4 linked regions of the Drosophila melanogaster genome follow. The protein of the gene in region 1 interacts with the protein of each later gene in a pairwise test. Each region holds a gene or a part of one and is shown on either strand. Other genes may lie near its edges. The genes, in order: CG11635, alphaTry, gNacalpha and CG10055.

Region 1 (4,477 bases):
CTAATTGGCATTGGCAACTTCGCTCGGCGATCGGAGATAGTCCCCCACAATGAGCAGAAGTATCAATCTGCGGATCAAAGAAACCCGTTCTCGCTTCAAGTTAACTTAATTATGCTAATGTCGTGCGAGCGGCTGTCCAGTAAATTTCCGTGAATTTATATCGACAGCAATTGGCTTATGGTCCAATATAGCCAAGCACTTAACCCAGTCGCTAATTGTCGCCGGGTGTTAACAAACTGATTACCAGCGTTTCCCAATCATAAGCTGCTGTTCGCTTTGCATGACTTACGCTCCCCACCTGCGAAATTGGCAGCATAATTTGGCGCATGTCATGTTAGTTGTGGCTAATGCTGCGTGTATTTCCCCTCCTTTTTTCTTTCTTAATGCGGTTTACGAATATTTTTTGTTGGTCCCCTGCAATTATACTGCGATTAGAAAGTTTTCGTCCGCCCGTTGGCTTATTGATATACGACTGCCGTCTAGTATTTCTGCATGTGTAGATTTAGGCGGACTTTGCGACCGGGCTAATGGCACATTTATTTATTATGGCCATTTGGACGAATTACGCTCGCGTGCTCTGCTCCGTGCCACCAACTTCCTCTCCGGCATCCTCGCACTCTCTCGTCGCAGCATTTGGGCCCACCAGGCGAGCAGAAGGTTCCATTTGGCCGAATGTCTCCTAGCCAAGTCGCTCAGCTTTCTCCGCTACTTCTAGGAACCCCACGCACTCTTGAGCCAAGAAAACTTCGACTGAGAGCATGGCTTTTGGACATTCCAGTGAAAATACCTTGGGTGTTGGCGAGCAAAAGCAGTGAAGAGTAATTCAGGCCAGGAATTTAGTGTGTGGGATATACAGAGATATACATATTTTATGAAAATTGCTGGAATCATACAATTTGTGTTTATTCTATAATATGGTGTGATATGTTGCCATTTATTTGCCAGTGCCTGAAATATGAGCTATACCTTTCTATATGCCTTATTCTATATTTTTTTGGTTTCATTTTATCTGTGAAATGCAGAAGCATAAAAAATTATCTTAAATCTTAATAATATAATTAGTTGCAGCTGCACACACAGCGACAACAATCTCCTGGCAAATATGATTTTCCCTACTCTCCCAGTGCGCACAATTTGATTATGCCATGTCCAGCAGCTATTTTAGATTTGATTTTTCTGCACGTTTCTCAGTTTTCGCAGCGTGATGTTTTTGTTCGCAACCAAACCCCTTTTCACTCGTTGAGTATTTTTCATATTTTAATTTAAATTAGAGGGCAACACCCACTAAGCCACTCACTGGATGACGATGACTACGAGGAAGATGATGATGGCGATGGCGATGGCGATGGCGATGGCGATGGTGATGATGACGGCAGCTGCAGACAGTGGAAAGCTGGTCGTAACTCAGTCAGACACTCGCTCCGAGCTTAACGCGCTGATGTATGCTAATGAGCCGGCATTGTCGCCGGATCCGTCTGCTTCCCTTGCTCCTTGCTCATCTCTGCCTCCTGATCCTGCTCCGGACCTAACTCGATTGCCGGGGGAGGAGCTGCAGCCGGAGAGCTACCATAAATATGCATAATGCAATTAACAGCCAAATGTAATTGCAAGCCAGAACAAGGAGTAAAAAATAGAAAGAGGAAAATAAAGACAGACTGGCATTAGCAGCTGACAAACCACCCGCATGGCAGTCACTGTCCCGTCACATCACTTCACATCACATCTCTCTTGGTGAAGCATGACAGTCGCTCTGCTCCTTTGGCTTTGCATATGCCCGACTTTTCCGATTCTCTGATTTTCCGACTTTCCCGGCCTGGCCAACCTGTTCGCTCGCACACTTAATTAGGCTATTAAACAATTGCAGAACGCATGCTTGCTAGGCCTGTCTCCAACCAGTTTGCAACTCGCAGTTCCGCCTCGGTCCAATCCAAAATCCGATCCGATCCCAGCCGAATAGCATCGAATCTGCCGCGAATCTGTGCCAAATTTCGCATAGGCACTGCCTAGCCAACTTAAGGCCAAATCGAAAAACCGACAAAACTGAATAACCGTTGCGTGCCTAGGCCCAGTCAGCGTCTTTCGATTTGGCCGTGCCTGTGTCTTTACACTGGAAAAAATTGCAACCAATACGGACGAATAGTATACATTCAATACTCTTGTTACTGTTTGTTTATCATCGTGGATGGATTTATCTCGAGTTGATTATCTGAACTGAGTAGATATGCGAATTCTGGATATGTTTATTGTATTTCTTCCAGTGTGGCCTGCCTTTTCCTCCGTCTATCTGCGCGTATGGCCAACTCCGCTGGATTTACTTGACTTGGCCTGGCTGATTGGGCGCGCGTTGTTTTGCATTTCCAGGCCAGAAACAGCGGCTGCGTAATAAAATGCATTTTAATTTGGCTAAATGTTCAATTAAATTTAAACATGCGCAGTCCGCTGTTTGCAATTTTGTGTTGCCTGTCGCCGTTGCATTGAAGTTGAGTTGCAGGAGAAGTGAATGTGTGCGACAGGACCCTCTTCCGATTTTCTCCAATTTTCAACCAGCTCTTTTTCGTCCAGTAGGCCTCGATCGAAATTTCGGATACCAAGCAAAAAATTTTAATTTAGCGATTCATGTAACGGCGTTACGGTATACAAAAATTTTCAAAATTCCACTTTCATTAAAAGTTTCGGCTAATGTTTTGGTCCTCCCTACTAAGGGGCTTCAGCTCACGTCAGAGCGGCTCCTCGAATAAACCCCCAAAACCTCCAAGTCCACCGAAGCCACCATCGTCACCATCTCCACCAAAGTCTCCTTCTGCCAAACGAGAATGCAAGATCCGGACGCACTGCATTCCGGCCGCCTTCTGCGCCGAAGGGGATAAGTTCAAGTCGATGTGGGATCCGCCGAAGAACCTGCCTCCGCCGTACCCCTTCGTGGTCAGCCGATCAAATGACTTGTGCTGCGAACCCAACTGCACCAAACCACTGCCCTCATTCGACGAGCTGTATTACCGTCCCTCCTGCAAGAACGGTCCTTACCAGCGCCACTGGGTGGAGTGCCCCAAGTTCATGATCCGCAAGAAGATAATCTGCGCCTACGACAAGCTGGAGGCTCTGAGCCCCGCCCGTCGGGTGGCCGAGCGGCGCGAGCGGACAACGCTCAGTGCCACAGCCACAGGACCATGTCCCCATTTCGCTCCGTTGGCACGATGCGTGCCAGGACGTCGTCCGCCCAGATGCCACGCGGCCAAGACGCCCTCCTGCTGCCGCAGGTTGTGTGCACCGATGCCCTGCTGGTCGGATTGTAAGCAGCCTAAGCTGGCCAAGCGACCATATCGACCTCGCGAGTGCGAGTGCCGATTCCCCCTGAGCCTCTGCGAAGCGGAGCGGGGTCGTCAGTGGGTCAAAATTCATGGTGAGAACCACGTCTGTCCCAGTGCCATAAAAAAGGCCAAGAAGGCGAGAAAAGACATGCTCAAGAAGATGAAAAAGGATAAGAAGGATAAGGGCACGGATAAGAAGAAAGATAAGAACAAGGATAAAAATAAAAAATAAGTTTTAAAGGTTATGTTTATTTCTTTGGTCATTGGTGCTCTTGTATTACTCGGTTTCAGCCTCCAGAATTGTTGCTTTGTACTTGCTTTGGCCAGACTCCAGATCGATTAAAGCCTGCTTCAGAGCCATGCGCATAAGTAAGCGGGACTCGGACTCGGTCAGCTGAGCAGAAACTTTGTACCGTTCTCTATCTAAATGGATACCTGTGCCGAATTGGGGTTCCTGGTTCAACGGCTGCTCTTCAATTGACTCGGTGCTAAGGCTACTAGTAGGCTTCTTGGCAGGAACTTCGATAGTCCTAAAGGGCCTGTAGGTGTGTATGGTTTCCTTAGGCTGAGTGTCCTGCGTGTCATCAGTCTTGGGAGTATTCTCATTGGTTTTTGAAGGACTGGACTCTTGAGTATCGCCAGCAGACGCAATTTGCTCGATTTTGTGAGATTGTTTTATTAGCTCCTCCCCGAAGTCCTCATCGGAAATCGAAGACTCTGAAACTACCGAACTAGATTGATTAGTTATTTCACCGGTTAACTCAGAATCCAAAGACTGATTTGCTTCCATCTCGTGATCCAATTTAAGTTGATCGGTGATATCCCTCGTTAGTTCGGAATCAAAAGACTGGTTCGAAATCTCGCTATGATCTAGGCTCTCTACATCACCCAATCCAGATGGTTCTGAGAGCGCACTGGCTACCTCCGAATGCATAGAATCTGCAACACCTAGCTCAGATTGATGGGAACTAGCTCTATCCACTGACTGATTTGATTCCTCCTCATGATTCAAACTTTCACTGATTTTGGGTTGGTTGAGTGCAAAGGAAGCCACATCCGGTTCAGAGTTAACCATCCCCATTGTTTTTTCACCTCCTCCCATAGTATTCAAAATAAGTGAAATCTGACTAAGCTCTTGCATCATGAAGTCCACATTCCTTCGAACGGAT
Region 2 (4,212 bases), 3.0 Mb from region 1:
ACATTGCGCAAGTTTGCTTCTTAATAATGCCTAGTTGTTTACAATTCCAATCACGCTAATAATCCTTAGGGCATTCTAACAGAATATGGGGATAGTTAAATCCAATCAATCAATTTCCATAGTCCTAAAAGCAGTCCCTTTACTGCTTGCACAACTCACTATATCTAATAGTCATTGCACTCGAACAGTCATTACCATCTAAAAATGTGAACCCTGTGTCCTGATTTTTAACTAAGACCATCTTTTAAAATAAACTGACGACCGTCATAAACTGTTCATATATGATTTATTTCGAAAAATAATTAGGCGTTGTTGATCACCCAGGAGCGGAGGGCAGCAACATCGGCATAGACACCGGGGTAGTTAGCGGCAGCACATCCGTATCCCCAGGAGACAACACCGACGAGGACTCCGCCGGAGACCAGTGGGCCACCGGAGTCACCCTGGCACGAGTCCTTGCCGCTGGCAAAAGCGCAGATCATGGAGCTCTTGATCTGGTTTCCGTAGCCATAGGAGGAAGAAGAGCACCGGCTCTGGCTGACGATGTTCACGTTGACATAACGCAGCTGGGAGGGAATGGAGCTGGAGCCAGAGGACTCGGTACCCCATCCGGAGACGGAGGCAGCAGCACCGTTGGCGGGGTTGGAGCTAGCCAGACCGATGGCCTTGATGGTGGAGCTGAAGCTCAGAGAGGAGCTCAGATGGAGCACAGCGATGTCGTTGACCATGGTGTTGGCGTTGTAACCCTCGTGGTTCTTGAAAGAGGAAACCTTGGCGACGACGCCACCAGAGCTCCAGTAGCTGGATCCGGCGCGGATCTGCAGGGAGGAGGCGGACACGGACTGCAGGCAGTGAGCGGCGGTCACGATCACCCTGGCGGAGTAGATGGATCCACCGCAGGAGTGGCTGCCACTGCGCTGCAGGGAGATCTGCCAGGGGAAGCTGCTGATGGTGGTAGCAGTACCGCCGACAATGCGGCCATCCAACTGGGGCAGGAGACCCTCGGGGATGGTGCCTCCCAGGGCGCAGGCTACAGCCGACAACAGGATCAGGAACTTCAGCATGGTGCGATTGAATGGATACTCTTCGAACCGAAAAGTGTGCTTATATCGGGGGTCACTATCTCGGGAGGCGTTTAATCAATGGACAAGTGAGATTCCTCGTGGTTAAAGTGGATAACGATGTGGAGTGGTCGTCGTGTGATAAGCTGATTATTTCTAAATATCACCGCCTATATCGATGGTGAAAATGACGCAACAATTATGCTGAAGTTGCAGCTGTCAATCAAGTGGAGATATTTGCCGCGGGGACTGTATAAAAGGGGTTTTGATCCGCGAATCAGCATACAAACGATTAAAATGTTGAAATTCGCGGTACTTCTTTCCGTTTTGGCCTGCGCCTTGGCTGGCACCATTCCCGATGGCCTGCTGCCCCAGTTGGATGGTCGTATCGTCGGTGGTTATGAGACCAGCATCGACGCCCATCCCTACCAGGTGTCCTTGCAGCGCTATGGATCACACTTCTGCGGTGGATCCATCTACTCCCACGACATTGTGATCACCGCCGCTCACTGCCTGCAGTCGATTGAGGCCAAGGACCTGAAGATTCGTGTGGGCAGCACCTACTGGCGCTCCGGCGGCAGTGTCCACTCCGTTCGCTCCTTCCGCAACCACGAGGGCTACAACTCCCGCACCATGGTCAACGACATTGCTATTATTCGCATCGAGTCCGATCTGAGCTTCCGCTCCAGCATTCGCGAGATCCGTATTGCCGACTCCAACCCTCGTGAGGGCGCCACCGCCGTGGTTTCCGGCTGGGGCACCACCGAGTCCGGTGGCAGCACCATTCCCGATCATCTGCTGGCCGTTGATCTGGAGATCATCGATGTGTCGCGTTGCCGCTCGGATGAGTTCGGATACGGAAAGAAGATCAAGGACACCATGCTCTGCGCCTACGCCCCACACAAGGATGCCTGCCAGGGTGACTCCGGTGGCCCACTTGTCTCCGGAGACCGCCTTGTCGGTGTTGTGTCCTGGGGCTATGGATGCGGTGATGTGAGGTATCCCGGTGTCTACGCCGACGTTGCCCACTTCCACGAGTGGATCGAGAGGACCGCCGAGGAGGTGTAAAGCCAGACAAACACTTGAAATAAATCGCAATTGAATCAGCATTGATATCTGTTTCTCTATTTGGGCCCAATTGCGTCGCAGGTGTAAAGCCCTCGAAATTGCGGCTAGATAAGAATTGTAGCGTGGGCTGTATATAAGGTTGGACGGGCGGCATGTAAGCCAGCACTTGTTAGCAACGCCCATCATGTTGAAGATCGTGATCCTCTTGTCCGCCGTGGTCTGCGCCCTGGGAGGCACCGTCCCTGAGGGACTCCTGCCTCAGTTGGATGGCCGCATTGTCGGCGGCTCTGCTACCACCATCAGCAGCTTCCCCTGGCAGATCTCCCTGCAGCGCAGTGGCAGCCACTCCTGCGGTGGATCCATCTACTCTGCCAACATCATTGTGACCGCCGCTCACTGTCTGCAGTCCGTGTCCGCTTCAGTCCTGCAGGTCCGTGCTGGATCCACCTACTGGAGCTCTGGTGGCGTCGTCGCCAAGGTTTCCTCTTTCAAGAACCACGAGGGATACAACGCTAACACCATGGTCAACGACATCGCTGTCATCCGTCTGAGCTCTTCCCTGAGCTTCAGCTCAAGCATCAAGGCTATTAGCCTGGCCACTTACAACCCAGCTAACGGAGCCTCTGCCGCCGTTTCCGGTTGGGGTACCCAGTCGTCCGGATCCAGCTCCATCCCCTCCCAGCTGCAGTACGTGAACGTGAACATCGTTAGCCAGAGCCAGTGTGCTTCCTCCACCTACGGATACGGTAGCCAGATCCGCAACACCATGATCTGCGCTGCTGCCAGCGGCAAGGATGCCTGCCAGGGTGACTCCGGTGGCCCACTGGTCTCCGGCGGAGTCCTCGTCGGTGTTGTCTCCTGGGGATACGGATGCGCTTACTCCAACTACCCCGGTGTCTATGCCGATGTTGCTGTCCTCCGCTCTTGGGTGGTGAGCACTGCTAACAGCATCTAAGCTGGTACCCAGTAGGTTGGATGTGTCAAAAGCCTTCAATAAATATTTGCCATTCAGAACATAGATGATTTGTATTTGGTCTGGGTACTTTAACATAAGAGGGTTTACAAAATATACAGAAAGCTTTTGTATTTACTTCTATGTAGTTTAAGTTAGTGGTTAAGCCTAAAGAATAAAGTAGTGGAAGTTGAATGTATTACACATACCACTTATTACACCTTTCGTATTAACAATAGGGAAACAGTTCTCGAGGTTGCCCGCGTCACAGGTCTTATCTTTTGTAGGGTTCACGGGTATTCACATAAAGTAAGATAATTCAACGCACCTTCTGTGATTTTCACCGATTTCAATGGGCTCGAGTGGCTAAAGGTAAACATTTGTCCAGGACCAATCTAATCAACTTCGAGTGCATCGCGTGGCTAGGGTTCCAATTCATCTTCCATTGATAAGTTGAGTGATGGTCTGGACAGCTGTGGCAAGATTAATTAGCCGGAAAAAAATGAATAGATAAGATTGCACAGATTTGGACACTCGAAGTTGAACGTTTTGGTGAACCGTGACTGGTGAAATACTGGACGGTGTGAATAGATGGTAGGAATGGATTGTCTTCTGTTCTTTTTCTTATATTTGTGAATTAAACGCAACAACAATTGCAAAGAATAAACAATTTGCCATATTTTTTAACCGATAATGCTGTTTATAAAAAGTTCCATTATCAATTCCATAATAAAGTTGAAATTTGCCATTTTTAAGTAGAAATTTTGATTGGCAGAGGGTCGTTCATATAGCCACCCCTTATTTTAACGGGTATTTCCAACTCGACGTAGCATTGGTGACGTTTGTGCTAATTTGTGCTTTTAATGGGCCATTAAAATTGTCTCTTCTATGACTTAACCTACTTTTTGGGAATTACGTGTCGTAGAAATCACCTTTGCCATTTCGTAAATGTGGTAAAAGTTATATCTTTGCATGTGAAATTTTCAGTAAACCTCAATTGGGTGAAGGAGTGTCTTGCCTAAGACTCACATATCCACGAACCCCAAAGTCAAGTGAGAAAATATGTCGGAACATTTGGTATGAAATCAAATATATCCTAGTAAATATCTTTTTTACACAAAATTTATTTTT
Region 3 (4,784 bases), on another chromosome or scaffold:
CAGTTTCCGGTTTTTTAGTTGCTCCTTCTTTGTGCGGGCTTGGTGTGGCCTCCAGTGATCCCTGCTCCGGCTGCCGAATGCTTAGCGAGTATTTCTTGCTCTTTATATGGTAATAAATGTCAGACTTCGCTTAGCCCTTGGCAGTCGGCAGGGGAAATTGATTTTCCTTGCCGCTCCAGCGACTCCAAATCGTGATGGGCAGGTGGTTGGGGTCTGGAAATGCTGTTGGTTCTGGGTTCTGGATATCGTCTCGGTCATTTGGCGATAAGCGCGTCAGCCTCGCTCAAGGCTGACATATTTTGAAAGAGGATGACGGCAGAGTTTACTTCATTCTGAAGGCACAGCCATACCGCCTGCCAAACGGGATTCCAGCTCATCAACAGCAGCACAAAGATGTGGCATTCCAGATTGGCCCATCGACAAAATAAACGTCAAATTATCAAGCGAACAAGGTACCAAGTGAAATGACCTTGTCAACGCTAAAAACAAATTGGGTTTCTACTTTATTGGGAGTGCAAACAGTATGTCCACAAATTTGCTACGGCATCAGGATGTATAAAAACTTGGTGCTATTCGAAACTAATTTGCAGACTCACTATAAACTCACTAAAACAAACTCCTTTAATAAATAGTTTTCCTAGCAAAGACTGCTGATTCACTTACAACAATAGAATTAAGCCAAATAAGCATCAATCAGCAATGAAATTCATTAGCGGGAAGAGGAGACTCTCGAGCAGGCACAATATGAATGCCTTGGCCAAGATCTCAATTACGGAAACATCTTTGGTTATAACATGTCTACGACATGGTAATATGATTTCAATCATTTCTCGAAACTTGCATGATTAATGCGTTACAGATTTTTGCCCCCAGAAAGCGGCTTCTGTGGGCCTCGTTGCCTTGAAGGAGAGTGAAGACCTCGTCCTGGTGGGCCTCCGAATTGGGTTCATTTTTCATGCACAGGCCGTGGCAGCAGAAACTAAACTTCGAGGCTAAGACTAAGCCCCAATAAGTTGGATGGGCCCAGATGACACCGCAGCATATGGGGCGGATAATTAATCATGGGACGAACGTGCCAGGACGCCCAAAAACTTTTCACCCTTCTCCGGCTCTCCGGGTCTCCGAGTTCCAAGTCCGCGCAGAACTTAACTTAACCGAGCAACATTGAATCGAATCGACCGAGATGTTAAGATGCGAGGACTCATGGCTGGGCAAAGGGAATATCTGATTAGTTGGCCTCTCGAATTTAATTATGGTGACAGGACAGACTCTGCGGCGGCAGCCGGATGCATCCTCGGTCTCCTGCCCTCCACATCCTCCTAGTCCTCCTCCTGCTGCTTCATTCGCCTCTCCTGAATAATTTGTGCAACTCAATTAGGCGTTGACCCCACGATAAAGTTTAATAATTGCAGGTGGTGGACGCCCTTCTTTCGCTCGAACTTTAATTAAAAGAACCGAGCAATTAAAAACGCATCATCAGACAGAGCGCAGCGGCTTGCAGAAAAAATGCAATACATGCTCCCGATTACCACATACCTGTTATGTAGGAAATAGGAAAGGTCAGAATTCATGAAAATTATGCTAAATGTTATGTTAACTCCATTGGGGATTTGATCCATACGTGCTCATATTCTTATTGTACGGTTGTCTCGAATTGTGATGTAATTTCCGTAACACGAAGAGCGCCCTAATAGGGCGTGGCACTTTTTTAATGCACTTAGCAAGTGTTTTTTCGCCACACGCAGAACGCAAAACAGGATCACACAGCCCCGCCCTGAACCGCCTGATCTGGGAAATTCGGGAGCCGGAAAACCGCAAGGAAAACCGCACGTGTAACCGCGCTTGCTCCACCGCGTCGTGTTTGTGGGGCTGCTCCGCTTTGGAGGCAGACTGCGGTGCGACCACGACAGCAATTAACACGGAGGAACCAGCTTCAGATTCAGGTCTTTGGCATTTTCCGGGCATCCGAGTTTTACGACTTTGCATATTCGAATATTACCCAAATAACCGCTGAACTTTTCATTTCTCCACCACTTTTAAACTGGCTTTGTCAGGTGAAAATTTTCAAGCACGTCACTGCAGTGGATTGATTTGCAATCATCAATTTCGATAGAATTTGCGAGGCGCTGCAGCAAAACTTTTATAACCGCGAAATTAAGTGCACAGTTCGAAGGCAGCTGACATTCTCGTTTGAAAAATACCAACTTTCTTCAGAGCAGCGCTGCTAACGCCTATAATCAGTTCACGATTGCACTGGGACCTATCGATATCGATAGACTTAGGCGTGCTCTGCATGTTCGAATGGCCGAGTGGCCATTTTAAAAACTTATAATCTTTCCGAAAGCAACACTTGATATTGTTTATTTCGCTATTTAGGTGCCATTAGCATAAAAAATTTCCAGTTTTCATTATGAAAAAACTTTTCGATAAGTATACCAAATTTCGCAACAGCACTTATCGAAGAGAGCAACACCAGCTGTCAAGCCACTGGAAGTTTCACCTCTGATATTTCCTGTCAAGTCTTTCCCGCAAGAGGTCACACCACGTGCGCTGCCAATTTGGAAATTTTTTTGGAGAAGTTGTCCTCGCAAATCTGTGATCGCAAATCCCTCAGTTGCTGTTTATTCCTCAAGATGGGTAAGAAGCAGAAAATGAAGAAGGCTGCCCAGATGGCGACCGCTGCCGAGAAATTGAAGACCGCTGCCGAGAAATCGAAGACCGCTGCCGACAACGTGGTGGCCAAAGAAAAGCCTGCCGAAGAAGCCTCTCCCTCACCAAGTGGCAGTGGAAAAAAAGGGAAGCCCAAGGCAACGCAAAAACCAAACGTCGCAAAGGCACTTCAGAAGGAGATCTCCAGTTCGGAAGACGCCTTGGATGTCAAGAATAAACCTCCGGCAGGCTTTAGTGGCGCAAAGGGGAAGCCCCACATCATGGGTCAAATGGACCCGGCCTACCGCAACAAGATCAAGAAGCTGATGAGCCTGGCCAAACAGCTGCCGCCCAATGTGTTCAGTCTGCCGAACTCGCAGAAGGAGGAGGGCGCCTCCGCCGCGAAATCCTGCGTAGTTGAGGATGATCAGAGCACGGACTCCGATGACGCCCCGGATCTCGTGGAAGCGGATCCCAAGGAGACCCAACCGGACGAGCAGGGTCAACTCGGTACGGTGGCCGTGCGAACACGTGAGGTATCAAAGCAGTCTCGCGGCGAGCGGAAGGCACGCCGGATCCTCATGAAGCTGGACCTGAAGCCCATGGAGAACGTGGCCCGAGTGACCATGAAGAAGGGCAAGAACATCCTCTTGTACATCGATCAGCCGGACGTCTACAGAGTGGCGCACTCGTCGACGTACATCTTCTTTGGGGAGATCTGCGTGGAGGACACTAGCACCACGTCCGTCGCCTCCCAGGCAGCTGTCAAGGCGGCCGAGCGATTCCGTGGAACCTCGCCTGCCGGGCGGCAAGGTAACGAGGATGGAAAAGCCCCTGGCGAGGAGTCCCCACACGACGACGACGACGACGAGAACGATGGCGAGGACGCGGATGCCATGGGCCTACATGCGAAGGACATCGAACTGGTACAGATGCAGGCCGCGTGCTCGCGCAAAAAGGCGATCCAGGCGCTGCTGAAGAACGACAACGATGTGGTCAATGCCATCATGGCCCTGACTGTGGGTTAAGTCGCTCTGAGTGGCTCCTTTGTATTCAAAGTCATGAAATAAAGAGAATTTCAATAACATCCATGTTCGCCATAGAAATTAATGGTAATTAAATGATTACAATCAAATCGTAAACTTTCATGTTGTTTTTATTTACTATACTTTCATGTAATCCAGACAATCCTTTCGGACTTCACTTCTCCTGGTGGATGGCTTGTTCTACAAGAATGACAATCTCCGGTGCCAATGTAGCTCGTACTATATTAAATGCCGATCATTTCCTGGTTTTTGAAAATGTTTTCGGTCCCAGCAGAAGAATCCCACTGAAGAACCCCTTTGTACAGCGAAATTGCCATCTTATTTCAATTTTCTAATGAATTGACATTTCCACCATTTCCATCTTGGCACAGTGAAAGCATTTTCCGAAGGGCGAAGAACGCATATGCGAACCCGAACCATTTTCATTATACTCGTATTTGCTCTTCCATCAGCGCTAGACTTTGGCAATTTTCCTTTCAGGTACCGTCATTCTTGGACATTTTCTCTGTGGCGGAAACTTAATCGCTTCTTTCTTTGTGCCGCTGACGCTGCACTCTTGTTTACTCTGCACTTAGTTTTTAGCCATTTGGCGAAGTCCCCCGGCACTCGACTTTGCATTTTTTGCTGGCGAATTTTTGACGACGCCGTGATTGCGTTTCAGCTCTTTCAGGGGATTTCAGGGGTACTCCCAGGTGAGACAGGTGACGTCGCTGCTGGTGACGTGGCTACGCAAGTCCTGCTCCGCGGACATTTGACTCAATTAAATGGCTCGACTACGTTCAACGTCCCTTTTCTGGCCCCAAAAGCCACTTAATGACTAGCTCCGGCTCTAACTGAACTTTTTTTAATTTTCAGCTGTCGTCAGCAGCCGTAAAAAAGGCTTTAGTTTTGCATTGTGGGCGCTCAACAGTCCGTGCGGCTGAGCACGTGCCCGCTTTTTCGCCGGAAAAGTGGAAATGGAAACTTTGTAGGTGGGACGCATTCACCTTCTTCGTTCTGTACACTCATATAGTGCGAGTAGAAAGTGCCCGCGCGTGTCGGCTTCGAATGGAAAGTTCTTGGGGCTCCATTCCCTTTCCGTGGAACTTT
Region 4 (5,989 bases), on another chromosome or scaffold:
CGCATGCTTATGCTCTTAAATACATAAATAAATAAATGTGTCGGGTATCGAGACTCCACTGTAGTGGGGGACCATTGATACTTAATTTTAATTATTATTGCCCACTTGTGTAGCTGGTTGAAATATTCTGGGATCTTTTCAATCGGTGTAAAGCTCATTAAGTGCTGTTGTTTCCGTGAACACACAACTGGTTTTATCATAGGACAAAAGTTGTTAACAAAAGAAAATAGAGAAAATAGGTAGAAGAAATATATTTCATGCTACCTGCTGACGTCTTGTAAAATGTACGGACTGACTTTTAACTCAGGTTTAATTTATTTAGACTTTTGGTAACTGAATTGAGCATAACGTTTTGGATAAAGTAATCAACTTGAATAAACAGCACATGTGGCCAAATTTTGGGTTATATTGGAAATTGGTTTGCGGCAACTGCAATACAATGTTTATGTGACAAGTAACGCCCCACAATATTGCCCTCTTTTATTCCCATTTACTCGTAGCCATATCTGATGAGTCATCTGAAAAGTGCCAACAAGCTAAATAAAAGGGGGTCAAAATGCGAGCAAAACTAGCCAAAAAAACAGATTCCAACGGGAATGAATGTCGTTAGGATATGGAGCTCTTTAGAAGTATTTGCAAAATTCAAACGTGTAAGCAAATCCAGCAAATTAGGGAAGACTCTTGCATAAATTTAACAAGCAATGACACCGTGACAAACACAATCCCTGCTTTCGTAGGCGTTTTAAGCCATTCAAAGCCCCTACAAACACACGTGCACCCGTGGGAAAGTGACGTAACATTAGAGAGAGAGAGAGAGTGTGTTGGTAGAAAGAGAGGGGAGTCCAATCAATGACGAACGGAGTCCACAAACACCAGCAGCTGAGCCACAGATGCAATTTGAGGGTGGTGGTTTGTGTTTGTGGGACTTTGTGGACCGTAATCAGTGGTTTCGTTTTCAGAAAACTTTGTGATTTATCGCACAAAAACAAAAGGCACGTGAAAATGGAGCGAGGAAGCCAAGAAACCCGAACTGGTTGCATCTGAATGTTGTTGCTAAATTACTTTTGCAGCGTACTAACTGTGCCGATGGTTTTTATATTTAGGCTACATTTAAATTTTTTATTTTCTTTGCTAATTTGTTAGGCACTCCTTACTTTAGTATATTATTCATTCCAATTTTTATTATTATTAAAATTTAAGTTAATTTCTAAACAGATTTTATTGCGACTTATGTTTGCAAATAAAAATAAATTAATTTTAAAGCGTTACAAAGTAACAATAATATTTTCGTGTGTTTGATGGGTACATTTCCACTAGTAGCACAAGGCTGTGCCTCTTTTCTCTCTGTGTTATAACAAGGAAATGTAACGGTGATTTACGCAATGAAAGACCAAGAGAGTGGGCAAGGGAAAGAGATAGACAGGGCAACTCACAGTCCAAGTGCTTCTTCTTCGGGCCAATGCATTCCTCCGTGGTGGCCTTGCAAACGGACTTGGCGAGTCCTTGGCCCGCAAGGCTGTGACGGGCGGCCAGCAGCCTGTCGTTGATCGTTTGCCCTGCCATGGTCATGATGAAGCTGTTGCTGTTGTTGTTTCTGCTGCCGCTCGCTGGTTTTTATTTACTTGATTAATTTAATTATGCACCAAAGGAGCTGACCACACCGACACACACACACACTCGAAAGCAGATACAGAGAGAGGGAGAGAGAGACACACACACACACGCGTATGGGGCGAGCGAGAGACAGAGAGGTATTGATTGATTGAGAATATTTCGAACGGGAAAACTCTGCTATGCGAGCCTCACGATTAAACTAACAGTAAAGATTTAGTGGTTCCTACGTCACAATCACTACACAATTTATCGCCGCGGTTTATGCGCTCTCTAACCGGTGCCTAACGCTGAAACGCGATTTTTTAATTCTCTATTTTTCCTCTGCCACAAATCGATAATGGCGACTGGCAAATGGAGCGAGCGTATGAGCAATGTCCTAAAGCGTCCACAAAGTGGAGCTAACGCGTGCAATCGACTTGAGTTTACGGCGTTAGGTGGGAAAATATCGATTGCCATAACGTAAGCGAATACGAAATAGCTGAACTTAGCTTTTACGATGTGTTCATATAAGTTCTGAAAATAAAAAAAAATAATGATAAATAAATAAATAAAAATATAAAATATTAAGATACTATAAATAAATCTTTTTTTATAACTTAGCACTTAAAATTCCCCAACAGCAGTTAAAAAGTAGCTAGATTTGTCGGAAGTGTAGCCAAACGTAACGTAAGCTAAGGGGCTGTCAACAGGAATTTTTAGTTTCGAGTAGGCGGTCATACTGGTCATTAAAATAAATAAAATTATACTAAAAAACAGTAGTTAGCACAATCAACAGTCTCGTAATAAAATTGTAAGATGTTGAATGGACAGATTGCACACAGTTATTTGGAGAACTCGTGCACGCTGATCATACCCCGCCCGCCTGTCCTGAATCAGTCCTCAAAGTCGGCCCAGCCAGCAGCAGCTGCTGCTGCTTCTTCTTCCGCTGGTGAGGAGTTTGGTCAGGAAGCGGGGTCGGGGTTGGCGGAAGCGGAGGCGTTGCATGTGGATCGCATAAGAAACTGCGATATATTCGTTGACGCGCACGATCTTTATTTCTACGCAGATGTTAAGCTGTACAAGTGAGTCACATCCGGCAATCTGTCGTGCCCATGGTGGGCCATGGTGGCGAAATTCCAGCGATATCATTGCGTACTTGTACTCCCTTTTCGGACAGATTCCACAGCCGTCGCACCTTCGACTTGCGAGAGCTGAAGACGCTGTTGATAAAGTTCAACACGACAGAGAATCACTACCAAATTTGCCTGCGCTGTCTGCCCCTAACAGCGGGTGCCCAGGAAGGACCCGGTGGAGAAAGAGGCGGAGGCGGTGGTACGGGGGATGCAGCCAAGCAGTGGAATAGTCGCAAAGAGTACATAGCCGCATTCCTGCACCTACCCACACTGAGTGCCAATTTGCCGGACAAGCAGCCTCTGGTGCAGGAATGGAAACTCAAACGAATCACCGATCAGTGCCAATTGCAGCTCGACGACCACGAGCGCACCTACAAGCTGACCAACAATTTTGGGTACGGCTATGCTAGCGAATACAGCGGACCGCTAGACCTGAGTGAGGTGAGTTCAATTGGTTAACCTGCTCTTCCGCGCACTAAACACAGATGTTTTCACAGTTGGACAGAGCCACGTGCCGCGTGTCGGAGCCACATCGCATGAGCCCCATCCAAAGGCGGCAAGAGCGCGTGGTCGATGAGATGAAGCGCTTTTCCCGCGAGCAGTACAAAATAAATTTTGTGGAGCTACAGGTTCCGTCCGGTCACCAGAATCCTTTACGCTACAAACCGAAAATCTACGAGACTTCCATGACCCAGGAGCAAGCGCATCTGCTGCACAACATCAGCCGAATGCAGACACGGGAGCAGCAGCCGTGCGACGTTTTTCGGCAAAACGAGATCGATTGCGGGCTGATAAGCATTCTGTTGGCCATATGCTATGATGTGCGGACGACGAACAATGAGCCGACGTGTGAATCGGGCTGGACGCGAAGCATACTGTGCCCGCTTTATTGCTACTTTGAGCAATTCGACAACTATCGGGACGTACTGGTTGCCTTCCTGCGGCGAATGATCACCTACCCGCTGTACCGCAATTTCGAGTTGGGCCGCCAATGTGTACGGGATGCCATAGAAGTTTTAAAGGGCGGTCGCAACTGGTTAATTAATCAGCTGCTGCTAACGCACCAGCAGTTCGCCAGCAGTGATCCCAGTCGCGATAGCTTCAACAACTACTATTTGGAGGACTATATACGATATGTGACCAGCCCGAGCGCCTGCAGTGATGAGCACATGCGCCTTCTTGCCCGCAACCTTAAGAACGTGCTGATGGACGTAAACAAGCAACACTTGGGCCTGGGAGTGACCGAGATTGAGACTGAGCTGATCAAGGAGCTGATGCAGGAGATGCGCATCGATGCGGGAAGCCAGGGTTCCTCGCCGCAGCAGCAGCATGGCGATGATGACTTGGACCTTGATAACGATACTTCTGGACAGGAGGACGAGACTACCACTGATGATGAAAGCGTCATAACTGACTCCTTCTACAGCGTGGACATGGACATGCGACTGATAGAGAACGAAATTGTATATGAGGATGACGAGGAGGACGAAGATGACGATGAAGATGGAGATGATGATGAAGATGGGGATGGGGATGAGGATGAGGATGAGGATGAAGACGAAGACGACAGCAGTTCTTCCACAACCACCAGTAGCGAGGCGGAGGGAAACAGCGTCATCGAGCAGTGCAGCAACAGTGAGACAGCAGCCAGCACCACATAAATTGCCACTTATGTCGAGTTCGGCAAGTCCTGCTCCTGCCTTGCCCAAAACAAACAAGCAACACAACCAACTTAATGTCAAAGAACGGAGGCTAAACAGTGATTACTTTTAAAATTAAAACAAAGTAAAATACGAAACTAAAAACCAAGCCAAGTAAATGATGTAAGTTTACACAAGAATACCCAAAAAAGAAGAACTTCTTATATCTTAATTGTACAATAATTTAACGAAAAGCAAACTCAAAGATTTGTTCACGCCAAATGCGAAAAGATATTTGAATATTTTTTCCCCTTTGCTCTACAATTACTTCGATTATAATTACACATACAAGTAAATCAGAACTTTAGCATTTAGTATGGCATTAGAGTATGAAACATTTGAATTTTGAATTCTGAAAAGCGAAATCTAGTTGTGCATTTGTATATACATCTATCGATATTGTTGGTGCTGCAAGCAAAGAAAACAAAATATGAATAAAATAAAATGGAAATGGAAAACAACCTCCAAACTTATCTACACAGTGGGCAAAAGTCATTAATGATTTACATGTTAATGTTGTATGAGTGTCTTATAAAAAGAAAGACATGAAGTATGAACGAAAATTCTAATAAAATGGATAATACATATTTTTTTAAAAACATCGCGACATGAGTTCTTTATTATTTTATTCTTCGTATCAACCAAGCTGTCGTTTAAAAAAGTGACAAATAGGTAGGTAAGCTTTTTGAAGGAGAAGTTATTTTTCATTTTACTTACAAACATTTAAGTATCAGTATTTAAAATGCATATAAAACATACTGTTACTTTTAGTACGCTTAAATCAGAAGATCAGATACTTTGTATCTTCAACACAATTTTGATGGTTCAATCCGATAAGAAAAACATTTGCTTGGGTTTTATTATCTTTTCTTTATTTATCCATACTCACATACATACATATATGCATATCTATGTACGTTTTAAAAGCTAATTTAAATATTTATGGACTGTTAATTGAAGAACGCATCGTATTGCTGGTGCTGCGGATTCTGTTGATGCTGATGCGCCCTTTAATTACGATTAGTGTAAAGCTACAATTTACAAGTTAAACTAACTAAACTCGTATGCATTTTGAAATCGCCAATAGAATCGATACGCCCAGCGAGGCCAATTTGAGTTGTGGAGCTGTTGTCAATTGGTTCTTCTATAGGGTGTCTGCTTCTGTCTCAATCTCTCTCTATTTACACAAGTCACAAATTGTTTAACAAAAGGTATGTGCTTTTAGATTACTTAACCACTACATTCAACATGGCGGCCATTTCGATTTGAACAAATTTTTTGATATTGCGCCGGTTTCAGAAAATTGCTTGCTCCATCTGATTTAATGTGATTGATTCAGGATTTTCCTTTACTGACACTGAGTTATTCTTCCACATCCATTTCCTTCAATATTTACAAGAATCTGCTTTAACTCTAGTTGCTTTTTAGGGCATTGTGCGCCATTTACAGATCTGGAATTCAAGATCATAGCATCAGAAACTCTATCAGAAAGTCTATTGGGATTTTGAGATTTACTTACTCATAGTCTCCTGTTGGATCTCCACCTTGTATGAGGGATTATCG

The links.
Region 2: the proteins of CG11635 (region 1) and alphaTry interact in a two-hybrid assay, tested with the Drosophila melanogaster proteins (one large-scale study listed by BioGRID).
Region 3: the proteins of CG11635 (region 1) and gNacalpha interact in a two-hybrid assay, tested with the Drosophila melanogaster proteins (one large-scale study listed by BioGRID).
Region 4: the proteins of CG11635 (region 1) and CG10055 interact in a two-hybrid assay, tested with the Drosophila melanogaster proteins (one large-scale study listed by BioGRID).

The regions. Positions count from the first base shown.
Region 1 is NT_033778.4:8,355,928-8,360,404, forward strand, and holds CG11635 (uncharacterized protein), read left to right. Parts: upstream 1-2,610; 5' UTR 2,611-2,679; coding exon 2,680-3,540; 3' UTR 3,541-3,545; downstream 3,546-4,477. Other genes in the region: spaw (spacewatch), read right to left, coding at 3,586-4,477.
Region 2 is NT_033778.4:11,343,194-11,347,405, reverse strand, and holds alphaTry (alphaTrypsin), read left to right. Parts: upstream 1-2,286; 5' UTR 2,287-2,313; coding exon 2,314-3,084; 3' UTR 3,085-3,146; downstream 3,147-4,212. Other genes in the region: betaTry (betaTrypsin), read right to left, coding at 303-1,064; epsilonTry (epsilonTrypsin), read left to right, coding at 1,359-2,129.
Region 3 is NT_033779.5:1,034,746-1,039,529, forward strand, and holds gNacalpha (germinal nascent polypeptide-associated complex alpha subunit), read left to right. Parts: upstream 1-2,500; 5' UTR 2,501-2,633; coding exon 2,634-3,677; 3' UTR 3,678-3,761; exon of another isoform or gene 3,762-3,788; intron 3,789-3,833; 3' UTR 3,834-3,940; downstream 3,941-4,784.
Region 4 is NT_033777.3:7,182,992-7,188,980, reverse strand, and holds CG10055 (uncharacterized protein), read left to right. Parts: upstream 1-2,307; 5' UTR 2,308-2,409; coding exon 2,410-2,675; intron 2,676-2,770; coding exon 2,771-3,167; intron 3,168-3,223; coding exon 3,224-4,387; 3' UTR 4,388-4,880; downstream 4,881-5,989. Other genes in the region: lap (like-AP180), read right to left, coding at 1,434-1,569; sas (stranded at second), read right to left, coding at 5,870-5,877, 5,946-5,989. UniProt on the Drosophila melanogaster protein: Required for the quantitative accumulation of H/ACA ribonucleoproteins (RNPs).